Linked DNA regions of Oryctolagus cuniculus. The protein of the gene in region 1 interacts with the protein of each later gene in a pairwise test. Links are inferred from orthologs where the notes say so. Each region holds a gene or a part of one and is shown in the gene's direction. Other genes may lie near its edges. The genes, in order: CCNC, TRIM39, KRT13, NDUFV2, MEOX2, PNMA5 and NMNAT1.

Region 1 (3,500 bases):
CACTCCCTATCATTCGTTATCAAACTCAGTTTAAGCTTGGCTAAAGCAAAGTACTTGGAGAGTAAATAATTCTTTAGTTGAATATTATATAGTGGTCTCTCCTATCTTAGAACTAGCTTTGTAGGAAAGGGGATTTGGAGTTGAAAGACCTTTACACTGACAGGTGCTATAGCTTTGTCTCATGATCTTTGTCTCAGTTCACTTTTCTGTAAACCTACCTCACTGTTTTGAGGATTCATTATGGGTTTTTTTTTTTTTTTTGATAAATTGTATAAAGTAGTAGCTAGAATGAGTTTTATAGTTTATTGAACATTTTCTTTTTATATTTATTGTAAAGATAATATGAAAAGCATTAAAATATTTACAAGATAGAAGGGAAGTATCTATCATTCAGTCTCCTTAATATAAGAATATATTTTGTTTTGGGCAATTTCTTTTCCTCTCTTTTTGTTCATTATGCTTATATATGTATTTTTGTATAAATTTGCAAATCCTTGCACTAAACCACTGAGAGCCAAATGGAGCTTTATAGCATGTGTAGGTTTTTTCCCTTTGTTAAAAATGAGTATAGTCATGTTCAAGATTAATAATGATACCAGAAGATATACTTAAAATTTTACTATTTCCCTTTTAGTTATCCAAGCATTAGGTGAGCATCTTAAATTAAGACAACAAGTTATTGCCACTGCTACGGTCTATTTCAAGAGATTCTATGCCAGGTAGGACTGTTTTATTTTGGGAATATACTAGATGTCTTAAAAACTCTTATTTAATGTTGATGAATCGTGTGTGCGGTAGAGTTAACTTGATATTTTTTCTTTAGTGTGTTTTTCAATGAGTGACACTTAACTTTGTTTTATGATATTTTTAGGTATTCTCTGAAAAGTATAGATCCTGTATTAATGGCTCCTACATGTGTGTTTTTGGCATCCAAAGTAGAGGTATAAAACAATTTTCTGATTTTCATCAATATTGGTTAATCTGCCCCAGTTGTCACATTACTTATTTAAAGATAGTAGTAGATGATAATTTAAGCAAAATACAAAAATGACACAAAAATCAAAGAAATACATACATAAATTTGTGTATTTATTTTTTAAGGGCTTATATGGCTCTTAACAGAGTACCAAGTGCTTTTGTAAATCTTTTTACAAGTATTAACTGACTTAATCCTCATAAAAAATGGAATATGTGATAGTAGAGTTCCTACTTTATAAATGAAGGAACTGAGGCACAAAGAGATTAAGAACTTGCCTGTATTTGTACAACTGGTAAGTCGCAGAGCTAGTATTTTGAACTGTGAGAGTCTAGTTCCTACTCCTATTTTCTTATTTTTTTTTTCTGCAGCCTTTAAGATTTTTAATTGTTTTGTACAAGTAGAATTCAATAAATGCCCTAGCTTGTTTCCTATAACCTAAGAGTGTCTCTCCTTCGCATATGCTTATTGCTACTGTCTTCCCTCCTTTCCTTGTGGTGATTGGCTGCCTACCAAGCCATCAGGAAAACAAAGGAATGGCAATGATTAGGAGAGGCTACAGCTATACAGATTCTATCAAATAAAAATCAGATGAAATAGAAAATTCAGGTGAGGGAGAGAAGAAACATAGGCACTTAGAGCTGAGACTGAATTTTTGCTTACCCTATTTATCTTTTCTGCAAAAATCCAGACAGTAGTAGCAGATATCAACTGTTTTTTTAATCCATTCAGGTTTTTTTTTTTTTTTTAAGATTTTTATATATTTATTTGAAAGAGTAACCAGAGAGAGAGAGGTCTTCCATCCGCTGGTTCACTCTTCAGATAGCCACAATGGGCGGAGCTGCACTGATCTGAAGCCATGAACCAAGAGCTTCTTCTGGGCCTCCCATGTGGGTGCAGGGGCCCAAGGACTTGGGCCATCTTCTGCTGCTTTCCTAGGCCATAGCAGAGAACTGGATAGGAAGTGGAGCAGCTGGATCTTGAACCGACGTCCATATGGGATGCTGGCACTGCAGGCGGCAGCTTTACCCACTATGCCACAGTTCCAGCCCCCAATTCATCAGTCTTCAGTATTACAAAGCCTTTGTACTGTGTTTCTGTTTTTAGATATCTTTATAATAGTAATGATATTCTTGAATATTATGGTTTTTTTTTAAGATTTATTATTTGAAAGGCAGTGACAAGGTGAGAGAGCGGGGCCATCCAACTGATGGTTTAGTCCCTAAGTGGCTGAAAAGATCTAGGTTGGGTCAGACCTAAGTCAGGAGCCAGGAATTCCATCTGGGTCTCCCACATGGATGGCAGGGACTCAAGCACTTGGGCCATCTTCCACTGCTTTCCCAGTCACATTAGCAGGTAATTAGATTGGAAGTGGAACAGCCAGTATACAAACTGGCATTCCAATGTGGGATGCCAGTGTTGCAGGTGGTAGCTTAACTTGCCACAACGCCAACCCATCTGAATATTATTTTAGCCTATTGTTATTTTTTTTTTTGGTACTCATTTTGATTTAGCTTTGTTTTAGCTATTGTTTAGGATTATCACTGACATTTCTCCCAACTATTATCTCAAGAATGAGAATTGACCCTATTAGAAAGAATACTAAGGAAAACGTTTTAGTGATTTAATATTTTTCAATTTTAGAGGTAGTTTAAGGAGGCAGAACTGACTTTGTTAAGTTCTTTTTTTTTTTAAAGATTTATTTATTTATTTGAGAGGCAGAATTATAGACAGTTATACCATGCCTTGGTTTGCTCTCCAAATGGCTGCAATAGCAAGAGCTGGGCCAATCTGAAGCCAGGAACCAGGAACTTCCTCTAGGTCTCCCACCTGGGTGCAGGGGCCCTGGTGCTTGGACTGTCTTCCACTGCTTTCCCAGGCCATCAGCAGGGAGCTGGATTGGAAGTGCAACAGCTGGGACTTGAACCAGCACCCATATGGGATGCAGGGATGCAGGCAGAGGCTTAATTTACTATGCCACAGTGCTGGCCCCTGTTAAGTTCTTTAATGGAAAAGAAAATGTTTATAAAACAATTTTAATATGGGTCTATTTTTTACAAATATTGCCATGTAACGGCTATTTTTATATATCAAGCACAACCAGTATTTGATACCAATTTGTTGATACCAACAAAACCTTATTAAACATCTATAAGCTTTATAGATTAATTTAGATATTTTGTTGTTTTTTTCATTATTGAATTTTTTTGAGAGATTTATCTTACTTATTTATTTGAAAGACAGAGTCACGGAGAGAGGTAGAGACAGAGAGGTCTTGCATCTGCTGGTTCATTCCCCAGATAGCCTCAATGGCTGGAGCTGAGCCAATCCGAAGGCAGGAGCCCGAAGCCAGGAGTTTCTTCTGGATCTCCCATGTGGGTGCAGGGGCCCAAGGACTTGGGCCATCTTCTACTGCTTTCCCAGGCCATAGCAGATAGCTGGATCAGAAGAGGAACAACCGGGACTAGAACTGACGCCCATATGAGATGCTGGCGCTTCAGGCCTGGGCTTTAACCTGCTGCGC
Region 2 (3,500 bases), about 68 Mb from region 1:
AAACCAGAACTGTAGTGTTATTTATTTTGAACTTTTTTTTAAAGCTTTTTATTTATTTGAAAGAGTGACAGAGGAGGAGAGACCCAAAGAGAGAGCGAGCGAGCGAGAGTGAGAGAGTGTCCATGACCTCTTCCATCCGCTGATTCACTCCCCTAATGCTCACAACAGCTGGGGCATGGGCCAGGTGAAAGGCAAGAGCCAGGAACTCCATCTGGGTGAGGGACCCAAATACTTAGGCCATCATCTGCTCTCTCTCAGAATGCACATTAGCAGGGAGCTGGACCAGAAGTAGAGGCAAGTGCTTCCATCCCAGGGACTCCCATGTGGGATGCTGGAATCTCCAGGTGGCAGCTAAACCCACCTAGCTGTAATGCTGCCCGTTTTTTTAGATTGCAAACTATCGCCTCAATGGTCCTTGAAATGGCCACCAACATTGCTTTTGAGACCATTTAAATTCTGCCACCTTGTCCCTCAGCCCCACCCACCTCTTTGCCTCAGTCCTCTTTTCCAAAGTTTGTGGTTAACTGCTGAAATGAAAAATTATAAATAACCTATCTATGTAATTTTGAAGAAACTGACAAGTCCAAATATAATGTCATACAGCATAAAAGTAACTTATGATAAAATCTGGTGTGTACATATTTGGGGCAGGACTACCCAGGAGATCCTGTGGTGCAGTTATATACTTGAACCCATATGTGGCATCATCAGCAATGCAATAAATAGAAAATCTAGCCGGTGCCACGGCTCACTAGGCTAATCCTCCGCCTTGTGGCGCCAGCACACCGGGTTCTAGTCCCGGTCGGGGCACCGGATTCTGTCCCGGTTGCCCCTCTTCCAGGCCAGCTCTCTGCTGTGGCCAGGGAGTGCAGTGGAGGATGGCCCAAGTGCTTGGGCCCTGCACCCCATGGGAGACCAGGATAAGTACCTGGCTCCTGCCATCGGATCAGCGCGGTCATTGGAGGGTGAACCAACGGCAAAGGAAGACCTTTCTCTCTGTCTGTCTCTCTCACTGTCCACTCTGCCTGTCAAAAAATAAATATATATATATATAAAGAAAAAAAAAACCTCCTACTGCTAGACCCCACACTGAGTGTGGCCTGAGCAGCAGGATTTAAAAAAAAAAAAAAGAAAAAATCTGACCAGGCCCCCTAAGCAGCCAAGCTCTTGGTAACATGATTTTGCAAAATAATTACATTGCATAAAGTTCTAAGAACAGAATATAGTCTTAGTAAGTTGTATTTAGGGACCATAATTCCAGTGTATTAAACTGTGCTAAGAATTACTCTGTGAAATACAAAAATGATGTTCAAGTCCAAGCCTGCATTTTTTACACACACAAAAATATTTCCATTAAAGGACAATACATTGAAAATGGTACAAGACAGGTCACTGTGCAGGGTTGTCTCACACACTGAAGGAGTGCCAGCAGCCTTGCCACAAGTGCCCAGTGCAGGTGTTGTGGCATAGCAGGTTAGCCTGCCACCTGGAACAATGTGCCCGGGAGGCAGCAGGTGGTGACCCAAGTACTTAGGTTCCTGCTACTCAGGTGGGAGACCCTGATGAAGTTGCTGATTCTGGCTTTGACCTGGCCTCCTAGCCTCAGCTGTGACAGGCGTCTGGAGAGAGAACCAGCTTCATTTAATTCTCTGTGTCTCCCTCCCTCTCTGTCACTCTGCCCTCTTTTATTAAAAATTCTCCCATTTCCAAAATGCATTCACGGAAATAACAGCTCATTAAGAACAAATATGGAGTAAACAAGGAGAAGGGGTTATGAGTTTCTAATAAGGGGAGCCTTTTTGCTTCCTGTGTTCCGTGGTCATGAATCCTGAACATCTACCCATATGTCACCCCTACGCTCACACATGCCGACACGCATGCATGCCGTCAGAGCAAATGAGAAAGGACATTCAGCTGCAGCGTGCACCTGCGCAGGCAGCCGTGGAAGCACATAGGTAGTCAGCCTCTGCCGGAAACTGCGTGGACATCAGACGTGCCAGGCTTGTGAAGCCCACCCTGGCGTTCGTCCCCCCTCCTCCACTTAGCCCTGCCTTCAGGCCCTGTCCACTTCCTCTTTCCACAGGCCCAATCTGGCTGCCCACTTTGCTTGGCTCTTGGGTTGGTACCTCCCCCCAGTCACAGGACACTCGGTGCATACTCTTGTGAATACACAGAAGAGAGGATTGCTGATAACCCTTGCAAAGTGCCGTGGCTGGTGTTTGAGGATGATACCAAATTTCAGGAATGCTAGAGGTGTACTTGCATGTGCCGGTGTAGAGAAAGCAACTAATTCACCAACTTTTGGAACCTGTTCCAGGACGGGAACTGCCAATTCTTTGAAATGAATCGAAACTGTTTAACAGGTTTAGCCCTGAAATCTGCATCTGTATTTCATAACCTCTCATTATTAAACTTGCTGATTCTGATACTTTTCCGATTGATTTTCTGGTTTTTTTTTTTCCTCTTAAATGCCTTGCAATATACAAATGATGACAATTTAGCTTTCCAGGATTTGTTCCTTCATGTTCTTGACGAGAAATTCAGCAGTTGGGGGTAGCAGAAATATCTCTAATATCTATAATAGCAGACATTGTCATATTGAGTACTTATGTGAATATATTTTAGTAAAACATAAAAGTACTACTATTTTAGATCATGAAGAAAATGAAAATACTTTTAAACGTTGATTTTTTTTAACCTCCCCATGTTTTTCACTGTCAAGTTTTCAGTGGGCGTGGCAGGGATGGAGTCATTCTTTCCAGAAGGAAATTGCACCCAAGAGAAAGAGGGGTGTCCTGTGTAATGGTTGTCAGTGACTCTGGAAGTCTCTGCTGAGGTGCACACATGGTGGGCAAGGGGCCTCCCCCTGCCCTGCCAGCCCTGCTGACATAGCGTCTTCCCTCTCTCCCTAGAGACTGGTGGAGAGTCGCCGGCAGCAGATCCTGCGGGAGTTTGAAGAGCTGCACAGGCGGCTGGATGAGGAGCAGCAGATGCTGTTTGCACGACTGGAGGAGGAGGAACAGGACATTCTCCAGCGACTACGAGAAAATGCTGCTCACCTTGGGGACAAGCGCCGGGACCTCGCCCACCTGGCTGCAGAGGTGGAGGGCAAGTGCTTACAGTCGGGCTTCGAGATGCTTAAGGTTCGACCGTTGCCCCTGCATAGCCCCTCAGGTCGTGCACAGTATAGCTTCGCACAGCCAGTATGTCAGCCTGGGAGGCTCGCTCTTCCACTCTGCTTCCCTAGATCCAGTCTTTCCTTCCAGACATACAAGGATCTCTTCCTACAGAAAGTCCTCTGATCTCTCCCATCCTTTCTAATCATGGTCTTATGTCCTGTCAACAATTATGTACTTAATTTGTACCCAAGGGGGAAAAAAATCACTTTTTGAAAGGACAAAAGTCATAGTCTGAATAAGTTAAAAAAAAAAAAAAAAAACTATGCATTAGAAATTTTGTGAAACCAGTTACTTTTAAGTCCTGGATTTTGAATCACCTAG
Region 3 (4,086 bases), on another chromosome or scaffold:
CTGCTGCTTTCTTGGGTACATTAGCAGTGAGCTGGATTAGAAGCAGAGCAGCCAGGACTGGTGCTCTAAGGTGCTGGTGTCACACGGAGCAGCTTAACCCACCGCACCGCCACGCTGGCCCTACTATGAAGCATTAAACCCACAGGCCTGGTGGATTCAGGGCCTCTCCACTGGGCTCTGCTGGCCTCTCAGGCCTGACGAGTCTTCGTCGTGGGGCGGTCCTGTGTGTCGCGGGGTGTTCAGCCGCACCCCTGCTCGCTGCTCTGCATCCCAGCAGCTTCCACAGCTGTGGCCACCAACCTGTCTCAGGGTGACATCAGGGGCATGGGGGTCACTGGGGGAAGGTGCCAGGAGATGGACGGGTGCTGGGAAGTGCTGTGTGGTGGTCACCGGTAAAAATGCATTGAACTGGACACCTAGGATCTGCACATTTCACTGCATGAAAACACACCTCAAAAACTGGTCTTTGGGTCAGACGGGACCAGGTTTGGGGTGCAGTCCTGGTTCCGTCCTGAAGGCTCTGTTTGCTTGCGTGTGAAACAGCGGCCACAGGAGGAGTCTGTGAGGCCCTGAACGCCAAGTGCTGGGCCCACGGCTGCCCGGGGCAAGGGCTCTCAGAACATCAGCTACGAGGATGCGTGGAGTCCCTTCCTCTTCCTCGCCTCTTCCTTCTCCCCAGCTGCGTTGGCTGGCTCCCTAAGCCCCCCGCCCCCCGAGGTCCCTTGTCACTGTGATTCTTTCTGATGGCATTGGAGCCATCTCAGACTAAACACTCCCAAGGCAGCCGATTCTGCAGGACCAGTGGAGTTTGTCCTCAGAGTCGCTGCCGGGGCTGCAGTAGACAGAGGGCTGGAAGGGAGACAGAGCACCCTGTGCAGAAGCTTCGGGCTGGAAGGAAGGGAGGTGGGGGGCTGCGGAGCCTCACAAGGCACAGGGCACCGGCAGCCGCCTCTTCCTTCGAGGCTCGCCGGCAGCTGTTTGCAGCTCAGTCCCCGTTCTAAAACCGGGTGGGGCCGAGAGCCTGTGGAGTGAGCTCCTTAGAGGAGAGGTGAACTAGGATTCACTCTCAAAGGGGAGTCTTAAGCAGAACACCGTTCCCTCTGAATCATCTCTTTTGTTAAGGATTAAAAAAAAAAAGCCACCCCCAAAAGGCACAACCCTCCCTGGGGAGCAGAGGTAACTGGGTTTGTGAGAAAAGAAGGGAAGTTGGCACCAAGTCAGAGGGTGGGGAGGGGAGGAGAGAGGATGGCCAGCCCCTCCGCAGGTGTATAAAAGGTGTCTGGACCGGGACAGAGCCATCGTCCTTGGCCCAGGCCAAGCCCAGCTCCTGCCTGCACCTGCTCCAGCACCGCTCTCGCCTGCACCATGAGCTGTCGCCTGCAGAGCTCCTCCACCAGCTACGGCGGTGGCTTCGGGAGTGGCTCCTGCCAGCTGGGAGGAGGCCGCAGCGTCTCTACTTGCTCTACCCGGTTTGTCTCCGGAGGCTCAGCCGGGGGCTACGGGAGCGGCGTGGGCTGCAGCTTTGGTGCTGGAGCTGGTAGTGGCTTTGGAGGTGGCTTCGGAGTTGGTCTTGGAGGTGGCTTTGGTGGAGGTTTTGGCGGTGGCTTTGGTGACTTTGGCGGTGCCGACGGCGGCCTCCTCTCCGGCAATGAGAAGATCACCATGCAGAACCTCAACGACCGCCTGGCCTCCTACCTGGACAAGGTGCGCGCCCTGGAAGAGGCCAATGCCGACCTGGAGGTGAAGATCCGGGACTGGCACCTGAAGCAGAGCCCAGCGAGCCCGGAGCGCGACTACAGCCAATACTACAAGACCATTGAGGAGCTCCGGGACAAGGTGAGCCCCCGGGTGCCGGGCAGGGCTCCCCAGGGCAGGGCAGAGCCCTGAAGGCAAGGCCACTGCAGTCCTGGCCTCCCTTCCTTCCGAGGGGCAGGTGCTGGGGGGAGTCACAGCCTCCCTGCGGGGGAAACTTTTAATCTGTCACTCCCCACCACAGCTCCTCGCTTTCATTTTCTTGTCACTACTACTGCTGTCCTTAAAAAACAAACAAACAAACAAACAAACATTGCTTGCCAGTTATGCTATTAGAAAGCTGATCTCTGCAACCCTAACTCACAGAGCTATTTGGAAATGTGACAGCTGTAAAAACCACACAGGTACTAAAATCCACAGAGACAGACATGTTCGTGCATCGCTCTGGGACTAGTTGTTTATTTTGCAGGAGCCCCGCTTAAATGGGGCTTCTCAACGGGGGGTCGGTCAGGTTGGGGAGAGGGAGGCAGAGGCGTAGGTGGCCCTGAGCCCGGATGTCCTCCGTGGGGCCTGTCCATCATGTTGCGACACCTGCTTCTTAGGACACCCACCAGCTCGGCCAAGTCCCGGCTCTGCAGGGTTGGGTTTCCAATGCTTGGAACACACATGTTCGGACGAGAAATTCTGACGGGTGGGATTGATGTCGGAGATCCCCTACGCTCAGCTGGGAGGCCAGGCTCAGTGGAGTCAGCAGGGAAAACAGGAGTCCTGCGAGGCCCCTTTTTACCAGAGAAGGTTCTCGAGACAGACAGGGGCTGACGGTGAGGTTGCTGGGCTGAGGCTGTTGAGAAAGTCCCGGGGGGCTCATTCCTGCGAAATGCTTAGGCTGGGGCTTCCCGGTCCTGACCAGATGCAGGGTGTATCAGAGAAGGGGGGCTGAGGAGGCAGGGCCCCAGGCACAGCAGCCCAGCAGGCTGCTCCCAGGCCCCTGCCCCCGTGGAGGTCACCTGCTCCCCTCTCCCGCAGATCCTGGCCGCCACCATCGACAACAACCGGGTCATCCTGGAGATTGACAACGCCAGGCTGGCTGCCGACGACTTCAGGCTCAAGTGAGTTCACGTCGCGAACGTCGGCTTCCCAGCATTGGAGCAAGCCTGGGGTGAAAGCTGTGGCAGAGCCGCTGAGCCTCCTGCAGGGATGGCGGAGTCACTCATCATTTTTTTTAAAAAGTTTTTTTAAAATATTGCAGGTATGAGAACGAGCTGGCCCTGCGCCAGAGTGTGGAGGCCGACATCAACGGGCTGCGCAGGGTGCTGGACGAGCTGACCCTGACCAAGGCCGACCTGGAGATGCAGATCGAGAGCCTGACTGAAGAACTGGCCTACCTGAAGAAGAACCACGAGGAGGTGCGAGGGGGTGGCCGGCCCGTTGTGGCTCAAGGGCTTCTGGGAGAAAGGCGAGCCCTCTGCTGCAGCTGCACGCGGCTGCCCACTGGGGGACCTGGGAGCACTTTCCAGAACATTCTGCCGGCCTTGAGAGCCAAGGAGAGGGAGGAGCTTCATGCAGCTTCCTTTCCCACCCCCACAGGAGATGAAGGAGTTCAGCAACCAGGTGGTGGGCCAGGTCAACGTGGAGATGGACGCCACCCCGGGCATCGACCTGACCCGCGTGCTGGCAGAGATGAGGGCGCAGTACGAGGCCTTGGCAGAGAAGAACCGGCGGGACGCCGAGGAATGGTTCAACAGCAAGGTAGCAGCTGGTGGTGCAGGCAGGGCGCGGCCTCCCCAGCTCGGGGGGCTTCTAGGTGGGCTCCTCCATCACCATCTTCCTGCCTGCATTTCAGAGTGCCGAGCTGAACAAGGAAGTGTCTTCCAGCACCGCCATGATCCAGACCAGCAAGACAGAAATCACGGAGCTCAGGCGCACGCTCCAAGGCCTGGAGATCGAGCTGCAGTCTCAGCTGAGCATGGTACCCAGCCGCTGCCCCCCGCCCACAGCCGCCACCTCCAGCGCTGCCTCGGGCTCGGCCACCCCCATCTCACTTCTTCCCCGTTGCCCCCCTGCAGAAAGCCGGGTTGGAGAGCACGGTGGCGGAGACGGAGTGCCGCTACGCCCTGCAGCTGCAGCAGATCCAGGGGGTCATCAGCAGCATCGAGGCCCAGCTGAGCGAGCTGCGCAGTGAGATGGAGTGCCAGAACCAGGAGTACAAGATGCTGCTGGACATCAAGACGCGGCTGGAGCAGGAGATCGCCACCTACCGCAGCCTGCTCGAGGGCCAGGACGCCAAGTAGGTCCTCGCCGCCGGTCTCCCTGCACGGCCTGGGGGTGTCGGAC
Region 4 (4,122 bases), on another chromosome or scaffold:
GGCATACAACCCTTTTAGATAAGCAGGCACAATATGCAAAATTTTCATTCATTCAAAAATTTTTTCTTCATTCAGTCAACACATATTTATTGACTATCTTCCATATGCCCGGTATAGTGCAAGTTGCTGAAACAAAGAAGATGGGAGTGGCAGGTTTTTGCAGCCAGGGAGTTTATTACTTAGTGCAGTAACAAAAGTTGAGGCAAGTGCATTTTGGTTTCTTATGGGCTAATGTGGACTGGGAGGTCAGAGAAGGCCCTAATAAAATCCAGCAAAGACATGGATACCAGATTCAAATGATCCATGCCAAATCAGTCAGTCTTATCCATTTTTAAGCTTGTTTGAATTTCTGAGATGTTTTGGTTTTAGGTAAGAACTGTATGAGCAATTATGTGTATAACATGGATCACAGTGTTGAGTGTATATATATATGTGTGTGTGTGTGTGTGTGGCTTTATAATAAAATAATTTAAATCGACATTGAGGGGCAGAATATCTTTCTCTTTTAAAATCCCTGTGCTGCTGTGAAAATTCCAGAAACTATTCACAAATTTATTATAGCAAAGAAAACGAGTAAATGGAAGGGGTGGGTTCAGGACGTGAAGGCAGTGAAGGGAAAATTAGAGGTAGAAGGTGTCTTGCAGACTCTCCATAGCAGGAAATGGGGCTGTGCATGCTATAGCCCTTACCGAGTAAACACTTGGCTGGAATTTCCAGAAATGACCAAACAAACATCAAGAAGGAAGTGTGGCTTTTTTTTTTTTTTTAAGTTTTATTACGGAAAATTTCTGATACATAGAAAACAACGGAGACTAGGAACAGGATCTACCAGTCATCATTCAAGGCTAATCTTGCTCCGTTTTTACCTTCTATTCCCCAAGACGCTGAAGCAAATTCCAGACATAATATCTGACTCCTAAAAATGCCGATATACATCTCTAAAGCAAAGGAACTGGAACCAACAAGGCATTTGGTATCTAAGCCTACCTCGTCGGGGAGCGTCACTCTGTGTCTTGACTTCCATAATTCGTACAATGAGATTTATAAATTTATAAATGGGCTGTAACGTTATTATTTTTCTTAAGTAACTGCAACACAAGAAACGGTGGTTAACCCTCACGAGGTTCTCCAAGAGAGAAGCTCACCACATAAATCCAGGTCAATGCTTCATTTTCGAAGAGCCCAGGGAGCCACTCGCGAACGCTTCCTTTCAAGGCTGGGACCCCAGCCACCGCGGGCGGAACGCCGCCTTGTAGGGTCCGGGTGGGTCTTCGTCCCGCCCCGCCCCCGGAGGTCTCCGCCCACTGGGCCCCAGCAGCCTCCGCGCGCCCGCGCGCGCTCCCGTGGGCCGCCGCCCTTGGCGTAGAGAGAGGTGTAGTACACGCTCCTAGCGCCCAAGCCTGACTCGGGGACGCGCACGCCGTGCGTCCGGGGCACGCTCGGGATTCTGGCCTTGCGCGGCCAGGGAAAGCCGAACGGTTTGGCCCGCCATGTTCTTCTCTGCAGCGCTCCGGGCCCGGGCGTCTGGCTTCACCGCCCAGTGGGTAAGGAGGCTTGGGACGAGCCCGGGCACTGCAGCCTCCCGTCTCCCGCTCTCCGTGCCTCCCTTAGTTTTGGGCAGAGGAGAACCCTGGGCGCTGGAGGGGCCAGGAAGCGGAGGCAAGGACACTGCGGCCTTCGCCCTCTGCTCAGGGAGGCCGCTGCAGCTCCACGGCGAGTGAGGCGCCTCTAGGGAGGGTCGGCCCCTGTGGCTGCGGCGGGTGCGTGGCCTCCCCCGCCAGGCAGGGATGTGTATGCCTAATTTGGTCACGGAGGATAGGAAGGAGGGGCCGCTCGGTGACCTCTTTTCTTTTGCTTTCTTTCCTTTTTTTTTTTTTTTTTTTTTTTTTTTTTTTTTTTTTGAGATTGCGCTCTAGCGCGGAACTTAAGGTTCCCCTGCGTCGTTCAGATGTGTCCTTAAGACCTTCGTCTCCGAAGGAGCAGGCACCTTGCATGTCAGGCCAGGTGACTGCATTGCTGGGAGGCTGCAGCGCACTGGAGAAAACTCTGGCTGGCTTGGTGAAAGCTTCCTGAGTTTCCTGAGATCGCAAGTAAATGAAGGCATTGCTTCGTTTACTGCAGTTGTGCTTTGCATATGGGAGATGCTCCAGGAACAGTCCCATAGTGTGAAGGAACAGTATCACAACTAAAGAATCGCAGGATGTTTACGGTCTTGAAATCCAAGTACATTTTGTAGAAAAGGACTCGCAGAGAGGTTGAAGCATGCATTCGCGTTAACTTAAAAAACGCAGATTCCAGAAGCGGCACTTACTGGAGCGGAAGAGGCCTTGGGTTGGTTGGTGTGTTTCTAGCAGTAAGATAGTGAGATTGAGTCAGCCCTCAGTGAAAGGGAGGTAGTGTGCCTTAGAACGGAGTCTGGATGGCGCGTCTCGGCCTTTTGTAGCTCTACGACCTTGAGCTGCTGGTCTCCCTCAGTTGTCGAAAGGGAATAAAATATTCCACTTGCAGCGTTTGGACGCTGAGTAAACTTTTGAGGTCCTACTGTGGGGTATGCGCTGCTGGGCTCCAGGCAGTGGTGTGGCTAGTGATAATCATAGGTAACTTCGGTGAGTATTTTCTGTGCCAAGCCCGTCCTTACATGTCTGTGTTCTGCATCTTACTTTTGAGGTTGGTACTGTTTTTTTCCTCATGCTACAGTTAAACAATCCCTGTTCTTGTGGAATTGATAGTCTTTTGTAAGAGAGACTTTAAGATAAATATGATAACAGTATAAAAGTACAGTGTTAGAGATCCAAATAGGGCCATCCAGTTTGGTTTGAAGATGGGATTTTGTCCCTGGAGGTAGTTCTAAGGTTGGGGATGGCAGCAGAGATATTTGAGGTAGAAAGACAACATAAAAAGACTATCAGTAATGGCCAGAAAAAGATTGGTGTGTGAGAAGCCAACCCTGCTGTTGGAACTTCAGTGTGTTCCCGGATGAAATAAGAGCAGGGTGGGGGCCAGATTTTGAAGCCCCTCGCGTGCCCTGCTAAAAAATTTGTCTTTATCTTAGAGGCAGTGAGGAGTCTGAAACGCTTTAGAGGAGTAGAGGGATATGGTCAGGTTTCTGTTCTGGGCAGAGCACTGAGTGCCACTGAGCTGGGGCTGGGTTTGGTTGCAAGCAGAGCAGGGGGCGCTGAATAGAGGCTCTTGCAGACCTTGTCAGGTCTAAATGAGGTGAGACTCAGACCTTGTCTCCCAGTAGAGGAGATGCAAATATGTCTACATAGAGATTTGTTTTTGTTTTATCTTTGAAGCAGAGAGGTTAGAGATAAAAACTGAAAAAAGTCGATAATGAGAAAGAACAAGTTTAGGTAATAGAGGAAAATTTTAATCAAGTTTCACGTTTCTCAGCTTTGTTTTCAAAGAGTACGTTGTGTATAGTCTATGCCCACCATGTGAGTTGTTTAATTTTTGTATTATGCAAGTAGTGCATTGCGGGAAAAACAACAGCAAGTACGTTAAGCACAAAAAACGTAGAGAGTACCGTTGTTAATGTTTTAGTGACCACAGTGAACAGATCTTAGAGATTTCCTTTTTTTCCCATTTTTACAAATATTGCAAGGTACTATTCATAGTGTTTTGTAGTCCTTTTTCCATAATATATTTTGAGCAGCTATCTCATCAGTAAACACTACTTGTGTGCTCTTGTTTTAATCCTGCATAGCATCCCACAGGTTGTGGATGTAAGAATGGACGAGCAAAGAGCAGGAGAAGTACAAGGTCTAACCAGGAAAGTTGGCTTTCTTAGCAGAGAAACCTTTGAAAAACCTTGGCATTTTTCAAAGAAATTGTCCATTCTGTTATGATTTCTGCTTTTTTAGCCATTTGCCAGTCTTCAGCCATAGGCTTTTTAAGCTCAACGTTGCTTAAAAAGATTCTCAGAACTTAGTACTAGTTGTGTGACCTTGAGCTGTATTTCTTAATGTCTCTGAGCCTAATTTTTCTTTTCTGTAAAATAGGATAACCTGATTGGACAATGGTAAGAACTGACTAAATATTATGCATTATGGAGGGCCAGGTACTCAGAATAGGCTTATTTCGTTCAGTAATGGCCCATGGTTTTTTGTTAATATTGATTAG
Region 5 (4,150 bases), on another chromosome or scaffold:
GGACACCGCCCAGAGATGGCTCAGTACTCGCCCCTAATTCGAACCAGATGTCCAGCCCCGTCTGCTGTGCCCATTAATCTCAGGAACAACTTCAAAGACCTGGTCCCCATCCTCGGGACACCTGAGACAATGAAAATAACGGGGCAACACCGCTGGTGGCACGGCCGGGAGCAGTGAGGGCACGCGCGCTCCTGACGGCACCGGCCCAGCTGGGAGCCGGCTGCCCCGCGGCCCGGTGCGCCCCCGGGACAGAGCCAGCGGCCCGCATGCGCTCAGGGACTCCAAACTTATGCTTTCCTGTTTGCGGGATGCAAACCCGAAACGCCCAAGCGCCGATGGCACGCATCAGAGTGTTCGGTTTCCCAATCAGTGGCACCATAGCGCAGTGAGGAGGAGTGTGTGGAAGGAGCTGGTTTGTGTGGGAGCGGGAGAGAGGCGGTGGGGTTCTGGAGGAAAATCAAGGGCCCTGGGTTGCCTCCTGGGGGAGGAGGGGGCGAGGCTGGGAGCACGCGTGCAAATCCGCACGTGGCATGTGACAGGGACAAACTCTCTTCAGAATCTTCCCGGCCCAGGACAGCTTGCTCTAGATGGACTGGTGGCTGGGAAATGGAGTGGGACCAGTTTCGCTGTGACGGTCAGGGGGCGGGACGCCAAGGCAGGGCACCAGTAGGCGGCTCACGTCGGGATGCCTGGGCGCGGGCTTCCGCGCACTTTCCGCCGGCTCACCGCACCCAGTCCCGGTCCATTCGGTCTCGAGCGCTGCCCACTTGCGGGTCGCGCTGCGCAACTCCGCACCTGGACCCTACCCCAGAGCCCGGTGCCCGGCCGGCGCACACACCTCGGCGGCAAAAAGCCGGGCGCGCCTTGTGCCCCGGGGCGCACGCAGCGAGCGAAGTCTGAGAAACTTCTCGCAGCGTGCGCTAGACTTGGCTCTGCTCTGCCCTTTTCAGCCGCGCTCACTCCCCCAGGGGTTGGGCGCACCCCTAAGCTTTCCTGCGGGTGACAGTTTCCAAATGGCACTGACAAGTCATGGTGCGCGGGTAGGGGCTGGGGGGTGGGTGCGGAGCCGGGACTGGCGGGATCCCGGCGCCTGGTGCGCGGCTTGCAGCCCGGGGCTGCTGGCAGGGCCGGGCGGGCGGGGACACGCGGAAGGACTGTCCAGCCGGCAGTGGGAAGCGGGGCTGGGAGCGCGGGGCGCAGACTGAGCGGGCGCGCTGGAGGAGCTCGCATGTGGTCAGCGCCAGGCTCCTAAGCCAGCCCCCGGCTCACGTTACACTCTATTTATAACCTCCCAGAGCCCTTCCTCCCCCCCCCACCCCACCCCCCAGGCGTATAGTTCTCTGGGACCACCTTCTTTTGGCTTCGACCGCTCCCACTCTTGACATCCGAGTCGCTCGGAGGGAAGCTCCTCTGGGTCCCAGTGTTTATATGTGAAGGAGACCGGCCCGAGGGTTTAGGACAGGGATTACACGAGCGCTGCCGGAAAGCCCGCGCGGCTCTGGCCTGGGGACACAGGGGCGGCGTAGGGTGCGGGGGAAGCCACACGATTGCCACGGAGAAGCGCCCGCAGGCTGGTGGTGCCAGCGTTGGTGCGGTCGTCTTGAAGTCTTCCCGCCTGGAGCCCGCGACTTGCATGCTATGGAACACCCGCTCTTTGGCTGCCTGCGCAGCCCGCACGCCACGGCGCAAGGCTTGCACCCGTTCTCTCAGTCGTCGCTCGCCCTGCACGGGAGATCCGACCACATGTCCTACCCGGAGCTCTCCACTTCGTCGTCCTCGTGCATCATCGCGGGATACCCCAACGAAGAGGGCATGTTCGCCAGCCAGCACCACCGGGGCCACCACCACCACCACCATCACCACCACCACCACCACCAGCAGCAACAGCACCAGGCGCTGCAAACCAACTGGCACCTCCCGCAGATGTCCTCCCCGCCCAGCGCGGCGCGCCACAGCCTCTGCCTGCAGCCGGACTCCGGAGGGCCCCCGGAACTGGGCAGCAGCCCGCCGGTCCTGTGCTCCAACTCCTCCAGCCTGGGCTCCAGCACCCCGACTGGGGCCGCTTGCGCGCCGGGGGACTACGGTCGTCAGACGCTGTCACCCGCGGAGGTGGAGAAGCGAAGCGGGGGCAAGAGGAAAAGCGACAGCTCAGGTAAGGTGCGCGCCAAGGACCCTCGGCCGGAGTGCAGACGCAGCTGGGTCGGGCCAGGGCGGCAGTTTGCAAGCGCTGGAGGCTGCAGCGGGGCACAGCAAAAGCTGGGGCAGTGTCCAGCCCGCGCAGGTTTGGGAGATGCGGCTGTGGTCCCAGTTACTTGGGGGGGCGAGGGGAGTGTTACCCTTGTGCGCAACCTACACGCAGCCAGCAGCGGCAGCTCTAGGCTTCCCAAGGTCCCAAACTACTTCTCCAGAAGTTTGAGACCAAAGGGGAGCGAGTGACAGTTTGTGAAATCGATTGCGCGGCGTGACGGCCGGGCGCGGCGCCGGGAGGGGCGTGCGCCTGGGGATGCGTGTCCGTGGGGCGGGCGTGCGGGTGCGGCTCCCGGACTTCTGCCTCGCATGTTCCCGACTCCGAATGGCTCGCTTTTTCCCATCGTTAACTGGCTTTCCAAATCGTTGCACAATATTTGGAACCTTGGAATGGAACTTGGCAGAGCGTATGAGAAAAAAAAAAAGTTTTAGGTTATTTATTTATTTATTCTGGATTTCAGGATTCCTTAAATAGCAACCTATTCTAAATGGTAAATGCTTCCCTTTCTTGGGAAAGGAAGATAGTGTCTAAGAAGTTTTTTTTTTTTTTTTTTTTTTTTTTTTAAGGAGCATGTCAGAAATTTTTAAACAAATAGATGACGAAAAGTATTGGAGAAAGACGATTGTTAGGAGTAGTTAGTAGTATTCGTATGATACCAATGCAAAGGGAGAATCGAAGAGGTTTCAGGGTGGAAGATCAACTCCTCTCTCAATGAGTGCAATACGACAAAAACTGGGAATCCAAGGGCAGGTCCAGTGCTGTCTGCTCAAAGTGATACGCGCAACGGGGCACCCACCAGGCGTTCGTCTGCGTGCCCGGAACCTAACAGCCCTGGGAGCGCCGGAACGCGCAGCTTGCCCGGGAAATCTAACCACAGAGGCAGGTCTGCAAAGCCCTTACCTGCCTGCATTGTGATGAAATTGTTCAGAGGATTTTTCACTGAAGGGGAGTTGTGACCCTGGGTTCCTTCGTGTTTTAGGAAGATGTCATTTGCGCAATAGAACACTTAGCGTGTGTTTCTTTTGCGAAATTGATGTCTATAGTCCCAGAAGATAATCTCAGCCGTGGGTTGAAAGAGTTGGCAGATGTCTATCTCCTGTAAAGCTTTAGGCCACATAAAGGACGCAGATGGAAATGAGCGTTGGAATTGCTTTGCAGCGATGCTACCGATCTTTCTTCAGTTTAGCCTGCGCTGGATTTCTTTCGACTTTTACTTTCCAGGGTCAGGGGTGGACCATTAATGCCCCATCACAAATTAGTTAATATCTAAGAAAGTTACTAGCGATGTCACTCATTTTTAATGGGTTTTACTAACTACAAATGAAACTCTCTTAAGACCAGTTGAAAGGTTAATCCCAGCAAGAAGGTTTTCATCTTCATTATTTAAAGATAAATAAATAAACAAGGGCCAGTTTTAGACAGCAATGGCCCTTGCACAGACTGGGCGCTGGATATCAGTGTTGGTGTGGAAGCGGTGGCAGTTCAGGCGGTTCGGGCTGATGAGAACATCCTTCTAGAACTAGAAGCTCTGAGTGAGCGGCCCTTCTCACTCTCCGCGGGAGAAGCCGGATGATGGGCTCCCTCCTCAGGCGTCCTGACTCAGCCCAGTACCCCTGAGTGTCTTAGGGCAAATCCGAATTTCATAGGGCAAGTGTGATTTTGTTTGGGACAGATAGAGAAAGTGGAATACAAGAACTGATGCCCACGAATTGTTTCAATGAAACTTAAAAAAAAAAAAAATTGGCCTCCTTTAATGCTCCTTAGCTCCTCTCTCATGGATGAGAAATTAGCCATATAACAAAGTAAAATTCATTTTTACATGTTGAAGCTGATATTTAGGGTCCATGAAAAGCAAGTTTGTGTCAGCCGCATAAAGTATTGATAGATTACAGCTTGAGTGGG
Region 6 (4,171 bases), on another chromosome or scaffold:
TTTGTTTTTAAGGAAAGACTAGGGAGGAGCCAAGTCTAGCAGTGAGAAGTAGAATGAAGTACAGAGGTGCTCAGGACAGCTCTGCTCACAGCCTGTATGAGACTGGGCAGCTGGTGGTGTCATCCAGAGGGTGCTGTGGACTGCTGTAAGGAGAGCCGTCTGGTCTGTGACCACGTGGCAGCGCCAAGTAATCATTTTCTCCAGTAAGGAGAAGGAAATTAATTTAAGAGATAGTCCAAAGTATGTTCTTGTTAAGTACGCAGTATAGGGGTCTGGGTTACAGTGTCATGTCTCACCTAGGAAAAATTTTCAATTAAAGGAGAATAATGCAATATTTGTATGTATCTTACTTGGTGACATTTAGTTTTAAAAGTTTTCTGCTTTTCACATTTTCATTAAAATATGATTTTAAAAAAGGCCTGTTATTCGTACCAAATACAGCAAAACTTACGTTCTGTCAGCTTACAACTTCTGGCTCTGGTAATCTCAGAGCAGTGCTACACAAAGCATGGGCAGGGAACTGCAATAGCCGCTAGAGTTTTGGTACTTTTGCAGACTCTGAGCTCTGCCAAGACCTCCTGACTCACAACTTGAACCGCTACTATCACCTGCTCTGGGAAATGTGTGTGCACTTTGTAAACTGCTACCAGTGTCCCACCAGTGCCCTTTGCTGGGACAGGACTTTAGGGTCCCCAGTAGCCCCAAGGAAAACAGCTAAGTCTTCCCTCTGTGGAAGAAACCTGCTTTGGGAAAGAAAAGAGAGAAGTTTCGGTACCTCGTGGGTAATTCTCATGCAATCACGAGAATAATGAGAGAATGAAATCTTGATAGTTTCCTGTATCTCAATGAGCCTTGAAAATTGCATGCATTTGTAAAATGAAGGTAGTAGCTGTATTTTTTATTTTTTGCCGTCCCCTAGGACACAGTGGATAAAAATTAACAAGGACAGAGACGTTTGGTTAGTTAGTAGGTACCGAGCTTGTAGTTTGCACCTGGACCTATACTTTGCACATAGCCCTGTGTGCATAGCTTGGAATACACAAACAGGAGGAGCCACTGGTGAAAGTCAGAGCCAGTCCCAGTCCAATGGGTGAGAGACACCTATCATAGTAGCCGCAATGGTTGCTGGGACTGATGTGACAGGTGGTGGTCCTGTCGGCCTCTATTGAGCACGTACAAGCTGGACTGTGAGCAACTCTGCAACGCAACAGTTCTCAGTATGGTTTGAATTCTCTGTTCCCCCTCCAGTCATGACTCAGAGGAGAAACGTGCGGTGGACAGGGCACAACCCCTTTATTGCAGGAGTGGGGTGGAGGTGGAGATGGGGGTGGGCGTGGCCGTAGACGTTGCCGGGATGCATCTGCGAGTGGGCGGTGCTGAAGACCGTTGCTTACCCGACAATTTCTTTCCCGCCACAAACTCGCGGCTCATTCCGTACAGTGGCGGCGGCAGAGTGGCCACGCTGCACGGGCGCTGTGGCCTGGAGGCATTCCCAGAAGGTAAGGAGCTGGGTTTGGGCACAAAAGGGAACCAAGGTTACAACAGATTCCCTCCAATGATCCTGGTTGACCTCCATGAGGTCCCAGGGGCCAGTGGCCTTAGATTCCCCTGGAAGCAGAATCCTAGGGGTCCCTGATATTTCCAGTTATCATGAGTGGCCTCAGAACTTTAGGAGGGCCCATTCTACCCCAAACCTGCCCAGACGTAGCAGTAAGGACAACTGGTTCTGGCCCTTATCCTTGAGGGAAAGTGGCTTTGGCCATTCCTGTTCTAGCCTCTAGCTACCTCTGCTGACTAGATGTGTCCCTGCTCAGAGTAGTGGAAAGGGTGTGTGAGGTTAGGAGTGAATGGGACAGCCTGATGGGTACAGGAGGTTAAAGATAATGAGGTGGGGGAAAGGAGTACAGGGAAATGGAAGTGAGGAACTTGGGTGGGTGCAGGACGTGCACATGAATGGCGGAGTGTATGACACTCGGATGGACACAGAGTTTGGCGGTTCAGTGGCTCTTGGTGAAAGTGGCTTTTGGCGCCAGAAATGGCGCTTGCGCAAGACGCAGTTTGCCGGTTCAGTGGATCTTCAGAGGTTGGCTTTTGGCGCCAGGAATGGCGCTTGCGTGGACGCAGAGTTTGGCGCCAGAGGTGGGGCTTACGTGGACGCAGAGTTAGACGGCAGGGGTGGGGCTTGCGTGGACGCAGAGTGTTGCGCCGGGGTGGGACTTGCGTGGACGCAGAGTTTGACGGCAGGGGTGGGGCTTGCGTGGACGCAGAGTGTTGCGCCGGGGTGGGGCTTGCGTGGACGCAGAGTTTGACGGCAGAGGTGGGACTTGCATGGACGTAGAGTGTTGCACCAGAGATGGAACTTGCGTGGACGCAGAGTTTGACGGCAGGGGTGGGGCTTGCGTGGACGCAGAGTTTGGCACCAGAGGTGGGGCTTACGTGGACGCAGAGTTAGACGGCAGGGGTGGGGCTTGCGTGGACGCAGAGTGTTGCGCCGGGGTGGGACTTGCGTGGACGCAGAGTTTGACGGCAGGGGTGGGGCTTGCGTGGACGCAGAGTGTTGCGCCGGGGTGGGACTTGCGTGGACGCAGAGTTTGGCGCCAGAGGTGGGGCTTGCGTGGACGCAGAGTTTGACGGCAGGGGTGGAGCTTGTGTGGACGCAGAGTGTTGCGCCGGGGTGGGGCTTGCGTGGACGCAGAGTTTGACGGCAGAGGTGGGACTTGCATGGACGTAGAGTGTTGCACCAGAGATGGAACTTGCGTGGACGCAGAGTTTGACGGCAGGGGTGGGGCTTGCGTGGACGCAGATTAGACGGCAGGGGTGGGGCTTGCGTGGACGCAGATTAGACGGCAGAGGTGGGGCTTGCGTGGACGCAGAGTTTGACGGCAGAGGTGGGACTTGCATGGACGTAGAGTGTTGCACCAGAGATGGAGCTTGCATGGACGCAGAGTGTTGCGCCGGGGTGGGACTTGTGTGGACGCAGAGTTTGGCGCCAGAGGTGGGGCTTACGTGGACGCAGAGTTAGACGGCAGGGGTGGGGCTTGCATGGACGCAGAGTGTTGCGCCGGGGTGGGACTTGCGTGGACGCAGAGTTTGGCGCCAGAGGTGGGGCTTACGTGGACGCAGAGTTAGACGGCAGGGGTGGGGCTTGCGTGGACGCAGAGTGTTGCGCCGGGGTGGGACTTGCGTGGACGCAGAGTTTGACGGCAGGGGTGGGGCTTGCGTGGACACAGAGTGTTGCGCCGGGGTGGGGCTTGCGTGGACGCAGAGTTTGACGGCAGAGGTGGGACTTGCATGGACGTAGAGTGTTGCACCAGAGATGGAACTTGCGTGGACGCAGAGTTTGACGGCAGGGGTGGGGCTTGCGTGGACGCAGAGTTTGGCACCAGAGGTGGGGCTTACGTGGACGCAGAGTTAGACGGCAGGGGTGGGGCTTGCGTGGACGCAGAGTTTGGTGCAAGGAGTGGGGCTTGCGTGGACGCAGTTACATGGCAGGCGTGAGGCTTAGGTGGATGCAGAGCTTGGCCTTGGGGGTGTGGCTTGAGTGGAGGTGGGATTTGGGGCTTGGTGGGTGGGATTTTTCCCTGGGGGTGGAGCAGCAGTTTCTTGTATTCGTGAGCAGATTCAAAATTGGCACATCCTGAGCAGGGCATTTGGGACGTAACCACAGTGAAATACCTCTGCCTTGCTTTGGACAGATCCAGTGAAGGGATCCTGATCCATCTAACCTGGTTCGGGAACTGCCTGACAGGACAGAGCTGGAGAGCAAGCTGAGTGCCTGATTACATCAGAATCACAAACTCTACACGGCCAGTGGAATCCACACTGCCAAGTCGTCAAGTAAGTTATTTTGGAAGGTGAGCCTCTGTGACCCTGGCAAAGGACAAGGGGACAAAGGCTGCCTTCCAGGATCCACACACTCTGCAGGGTAGGGCCACACCTAGGGTGACAGTTGTCTGTTTCCTGCAGCGGGACAGTGGGAACCCTTCGTTGGGTCCCTTTTCTGCCCCTAATTCTAGCTGCTACACAATATGAAACCTTAAGCACTTGTTTTTTCAGCACTCAGTCCTTGCTGCTCACCTCACCCCCATCTCCCCTTCACTCTCCCAGCTCCCTTGCTGCTAGGACATTTCCATTGGCTGGAGGATAGTGACATCACCTGTTGCTCTTCAAG
Region 7 (4,061 bases), on another chromosome or scaffold:
AAGCTCCTGGCTCCTGGCTTCAGCCTGGCCCAGCCCTGGCTGCTATGGCCATTTGGGGAGTGAACCAACGGATGGAAGAGCTCTCTGTCTCTTCCTCTCTCTAACTCTTTTAAATAAATCTTTTTTAAAAATAAAGCATGGGGGCCGGCGCTGTGGCATAGCAGGTAAGGCCACCGCCTGCAGTGCCGGCATCCCATAAGGGCGCTGGTTTGAGTCCCGGCTGTTCCACTTCCAATCCAGCTCTCTGCTATGGCCTGGGAAAGCAGTAGGGGATGGCCCAGGACCTTGGGCCCCTGCACCCGCGTGGGAGACCCGGAAGATTCTCCTGGCTCCTGGCTTTGGATCGGCACAGCTCCGCCCGTTGCGGCCAACTGGGGAGTGAACCAGTGAATAGCAGATCTCTCTCTCTTTCTCTCTCTCTGCCGCTCCTCTCTTTGTGTAACTCTGACTTTCAAATAAGTAAATAAATCTTAAAAAAAAAAGAAAAAAAAGAAAGAAAGAAAGAAAGAAAAGCTTAAACCCCTGGCATTAAACGCTGATTTCTCCCGGAGAGACTAACTCGCCCGCCTCACCTAGTATTCCCTGCCGGTGAGGCAGGTGTCCGGAAGGCAGAGCCGCGGCTCAGGTCCTGGGCGGTATCCTGGAGTCCGGTTCACGCTCGCCTGCCTCGCAGCGCCGCGCTGACCGCTCTCGGACCGCACCACCTTCCGGCGCCCGCAGCTCCGAGTGTCATCAACTTGGAGAAGGCGCAATCTCATCAGGACCAGAGGCTCAAGGTTCAAACCCCGCAGGCGTGGCGGCGGCTGGGGAAGGGGAAAGCATTAGCAAGGCGCTTCACTTACTCCAGGGACCTGGCCGGACACGGCCCGCGACCGAGGACGCCAGGGCCGGGGCGCCGACCACCACGCCGCGCCCCGCGCAGCCTCCCCAGGCCGTCGTGGTGGAAGACCCCGCCACCGGACGCGCGCGGAACAGGGGAGGGCGGAGGGCACACCTCTTCCCCGCGGGCAGCCAGCGGCACCCGACCACGGCCGTGCGGGAGTGAATCCCATCCCCGCCCGGGAACCGGAGAACCCCGGCACGGAGCTCCGGCGGCGGCCCGGCCCCACCAGGCCCCGGCTGCCCCCAGGGGTCGCCGTGACCCGCCGCCCCCGACGCGCCTTCCGGTCCTCTCTGAGGAGAACCCAGAGCTCCTCCCGGACCCCCGGGGTCCCCTCTCGCCTCCCGCCAGGGCCCGGTTCCCGAGCCGGGAGCCAGGAGCCCCGCCTACCTGCGGGCCACACGAGCCCGACCGCGCGGGAGGGAGCACTTCCTCCCGACGTACCACTTCCGGTCCCCGGGAGCCAATGGGGGTGCGGCCGCGGGGTTCCGCCTTCGCCCGGGTCCGCGCCGCGTGGCGTCCGTGGCAGTGGGTGAGTCAGTGGTTCCCCCCGCCCGCAGCCCCTGCGCAGTGGTGTCAGCCAGGACTCGGTGGCCAGCCCGAGCTGGTGTGGACGTCTAGGGTCGGGTACTGCGGTCCTGAGGCAAGGTCACGTTCACCTTTACTTCTTCCTCGAGGAACCAAAAACCTCGGAAATTTGCCTCTGACGTTCGCAGCGGGTGACGTCACGCGAGGGTTTTTGAGGGTTGGCGCTGAGGCGACCGAGGGAAAGTCTTCGTCTTCAACGCCTGCCCTTTCCCAAGTCCGTGGCAGAGTGGATCCACTTTCCTGGAAGCCGATTGGCCCCTCGCTTCCTGGGAAGGAGATGGCTTTTGGAAACATTCCTTCCAGTGTTTCCTAACATTATTTGAAAGGCAAAGAGCCGGAGAACTCCCTTCGCGTCACCCCCCAGATTCCTACGATAGTCGGGGCTGGTCCCGTCTGAAGCCAGGAGCCTGGGAACTCAATCCCGGTCTCCCTCCTGGGTGACAAGGACTCCAGTGCTGGAGTCCCCGGGAGCACCCAGGCAGGAAGCCGGAATCAGAAGTGGAGCCCATGTGGCCGCGGGTTCGAGTCCCGGCTGCTCCACTTCCGATCCAGCTCTCTAATATGGCCTGGGGAAGCAGTGGAAGATGGCCCAAGTGCTTGGGCCCCTGCACCCACATGGGAGACCTGGAAGAAGCTCCTGGCTTCTAGGTTCAGAATGAGCCCAACTTGGGCTGTTGTGGCCATTTGGGGAGTCAACCAGCAGATGGAAGACTAATCTCTCTGCCTCTGCCTCTCTCTAACTCTGTCTTTCAGATAAATAAATTAAAAAAAAAAAAAAAAAGGAAGAGAAAGAAAAGTAGAAAGGAGGGAGGGATGAAGGGAGGGAAGGAAAGAAAAGAGAAGTGGAGCTGGGACTCTAACGCAGGCACTCTGCTATGGGATACAGGCATCCCAAGTTTCATCCTAACCCCTGTGCCAAATCCTGTCCTGCGTGGACACTTCTGTCCCCCCCCCCTTCTGAAGAACCAGCAGTCCACGGGACATCGGAGACATCGTCATTTCAGAGGTCTGGTCACTGAAGTTAGATTTCTGCTGCCCAGGACAGACTTCCAATGTTGATGGTCATAGAACTCTACCAGAAGGAATTGCTCTGTCACCTGTGTCTGATCACAGAATTTCTTATCACTAGGCTTTTTTTTTTTTTTTCTTCAGAATTAAACACGAAGCTGCTTTTTTAGAGAATGGTGACACACTGGTTGGAATGATTCCAGTAGCCTACCTTACAAAACACTTCAGATTCAAAGAATTCCTTTGTAAAAGTAAGTGCCTGTTACATCAATGTGATTATATTTAATTTTGGTAGGTTAACATGAGGGAAAGTATCAATGTTTACGGTAAAATGGAACTCAGTGACTCTACTGCCAAACAGAACTGGAAAACACGGGAACCATTGAGAGAATTTGCTGAGTAAGCACTTTCTCACCATGTGCTTCCCTAATGTTGATGACGATAATGTGGAATTCGATTTAGGCATTTGTGCTGGTTTTTCAGCTTCATTTATTTGAAAGGCAGAGATCTGTTGTCCACTCGTCCACTCCCCGGCTGCCCACGGCAGCTGATGCTGTGCTGGCTGATGCTGTGCTGGGTGGAAATGTTCCCGCCTGTCGCAGAGCTGTGAGCTCAGTCCACTCTCCCACGTGGGTAGCGGGAACCCAGTCGCTCTCGCTTGCTGCCTCCCAAGGTGCACACTGGCAGGAAGCTGGAATTTCAAGCAGAGCCAAGTCTCAAACCGAGGTACTCGTGTGTGGGACTGGGCGTCCCAAGCCGCAAATCGCCTGCTGCGCCCGAGCCAGCCACCTTGTGCTCACTTTATGTAGTCGTGAAAGCTGTGGAGAAGAGGCCTTACCACGTACGCCCTGTATTTACCTCATGTTCTTTTTTCTTAGCTGATCAGTGGGTCTGTGTTGTTGGATGTTCTTACATACTAGGGTTGTTTTTTTAAGGTTGAATGGATAATGAGTATTTCTAGTGCTTAAGTAAGAAATTGGTTTGGTTTCCAATTTTCCAAGCCTTCAAATGTGAGACAGAAGAGGTTGGAGAAGGAGGAATGCTATGCTATGTGGTCATAGGAGGCAGGACTGAGGAGCCAGGAACTCAGTCTGGTTCTCCCACGAGGGTGGCAGAGACGCAAGTGGAGTTGGGAGTCATTACTAGGAAATCGGATACATCCTGCTTAGCAGCTGGCGTTTAGGACATTTAACTTGCTTGGACTTGGGATGGGAGCCCGGGGAATGCAAACTGCTGTAACAAGGTAGAGAGAATGCTGGGGCAGGGGAAACTTGAGTGACTAACAAGAAGTACTGTTAGCCAAAGGCTCTCTGAACTCTGGGACCTCTGTTGTTTTTGTTGATTGATTGATTGATTTGAAAGGTGGGGTGTGGGGGGAGAGAGAGAGAGAAAGAGAAAGAGAAAGAGAGAGATCTTCCATCTGCTGCTTGGCTCCCCAAGGAGCTACAACGGCCAGCCATGCTGGACAGGTTGAAGCAAGGAGCCAGGAAGGCCATCAGGTCTTCCGCATGGGTAGCAGGGGCCCAAGCACCTGGGCCATCTTCTGTTGCCTTCTCAGGTACAGTAACAGGAAGTTGGGTCAGAG

Evidence for each region.
Region 2: the proteins of CCNC (region 1) and TRIM39 interact in binary tests that used the Homo sapiens proteins (3 or more experiments, as listed by UniProt). The two-hybrid records come from large-scale screens. The link is inferred for Oryctolagus cuniculus from reciprocal best matches to the Homo sapiens genes CCNC and TRIM39.
Region 3: the proteins of CCNC (region 1) and KRT13 interact in a two-hybrid assay, tested with the Homo sapiens proteins (2 studies listed by BioGRID and IntAct). The two-hybrid records come from large-scale screens. The link is inferred for Oryctolagus cuniculus from reciprocal best matches to the Homo sapiens genes CCNC and KRT13.
Region 4: the proteins of CCNC (region 1) and NDUFV2 interact in binary tests that used the Homo sapiens proteins (3 or more experiments, as listed by UniProt). The link is inferred for Oryctolagus cuniculus from reciprocal best matches to the Homo sapiens genes CCNC and NDUFV2.
Region 5: the proteins of CCNC (region 1) and MEOX2 interact in binary tests that used the Homo sapiens proteins (3 or more experiments, as listed by UniProt). The two-hybrid records come from large-scale screens. The link is inferred for Oryctolagus cuniculus from reciprocal best matches to the Homo sapiens genes CCNC and MEOX2.
Region 6: the proteins of CCNC (region 1) and PNMA5 interact in binary tests that used the Homo sapiens proteins (3 or more experiments, as listed by UniProt). The two-hybrid records come from large-scale screens. The link is inferred for Oryctolagus cuniculus from reciprocal best matches to the Homo sapiens genes CCNC and PNMA5.
Region 7: the proteins of CCNC (region 1) and NMNAT1 interact in binary tests that used the Homo sapiens proteins (3 or more experiments, as listed by UniProt). The two-hybrid records come from large-scale screens. The link is inferred for Oryctolagus cuniculus from reciprocal best matches to the Homo sapiens genes CCNC and NMNAT1.

What each region holds. Positions count from the first base shown.
Region 1 is NC_091436.1:72,164,563-72,168,062, forward strand, and holds part of CCNC (cyclin-C), read left to right. Parts: intron 1-634; coding exon 635-719; intron 720-871; coding exon 872-941; intron 942-3,500. UniProt on the Homo sapiens protein: Component of the Mediator complex, a coactivator involved in regulated gene transcription of nearly all RNA polymerase II-dependent genes.
Region 2 is NC_091436.1:139,956,086-139,959,585, reverse strand, and holds part of TRIM39 (E3 ubiquitin-protein ligase TRIM39), read left to right. Parts: intron 1-2,912; coding exon 2,913-3,143; intron 3,144-3,500.
Region 3 is NC_091448.1:21,121,509-21,125,594, forward strand, and holds the start of KRT13 (keratin, type I cytoskeletal 13), read left to right. Parts: upstream 1-1,286; 5' UTR 1,287-1,365; coding exon 1,366-1,836; intron 1,837-2,778; coding exon 2,779-2,861; intron 2,862-3,001; coding exon 3,002-3,158; intron 3,159-3,339; coding exon 3,340-3,501; intron 3,502-3,595; coding exon 3,596-3,721; intron 3,722-3,818; coding exon 3,819-4,039; intron 4,040-4,086.
Region 4 is NC_091441.1:66,330,970-66,335,091, forward strand, and holds the start of NDUFV2 (NADH dehydrogenase [ubiquinone] flavoprotein 2, mitochondrial), read left to right. Parts: upstream 1-1,322; 5' UTR 1,323-1,490; coding exon 1,491-1,544; intron 1,545-4,122.
Region 5 is NC_091447.1:7,289,576-7,293,725, reverse strand, and holds the start of MEOX2 (homeobox protein MOX-2), read left to right. Parts: upstream 1-1,350; 5' UTR 1,351-1,638; coding exon 1,639-2,152; intron 2,153-4,150. UniProt on the Homo sapiens protein: Mesodermal transcription factor that plays a key role in somitogenesis and somitogenesis and limb muscle differentiation. Required during limb development for normal appendicular muscle formation and for the normal regulation of myogenic genes.
Region 6 is NC_091453.1:131,406,284-131,410,454, reverse strand, and holds the start of PNMA5 (paraneoplastic antigen-like protein 5), read left to right. Parts: upstream 1-1,371; 5' UTR 1,372-1,499; intron 1,500-3,695; 5' UTR 3,696-3,837; intron 3,838-4,171.
Region 7 is NC_091438.1:158,230,093-158,234,153, reverse strand, and holds the start of NMNAT1 (nicotinamide/nicotinic acid mononucleotide adenylyltransferase 1), read left to right. Parts: upstream 1-1,261; 5' UTR 1,262-1,412; exon of another isoform or gene 1,413-1,562; intron 1,563-2,620; 5' UTR 2,621-2,669; coding exon 2,670-2,727; intron 2,728-4,061.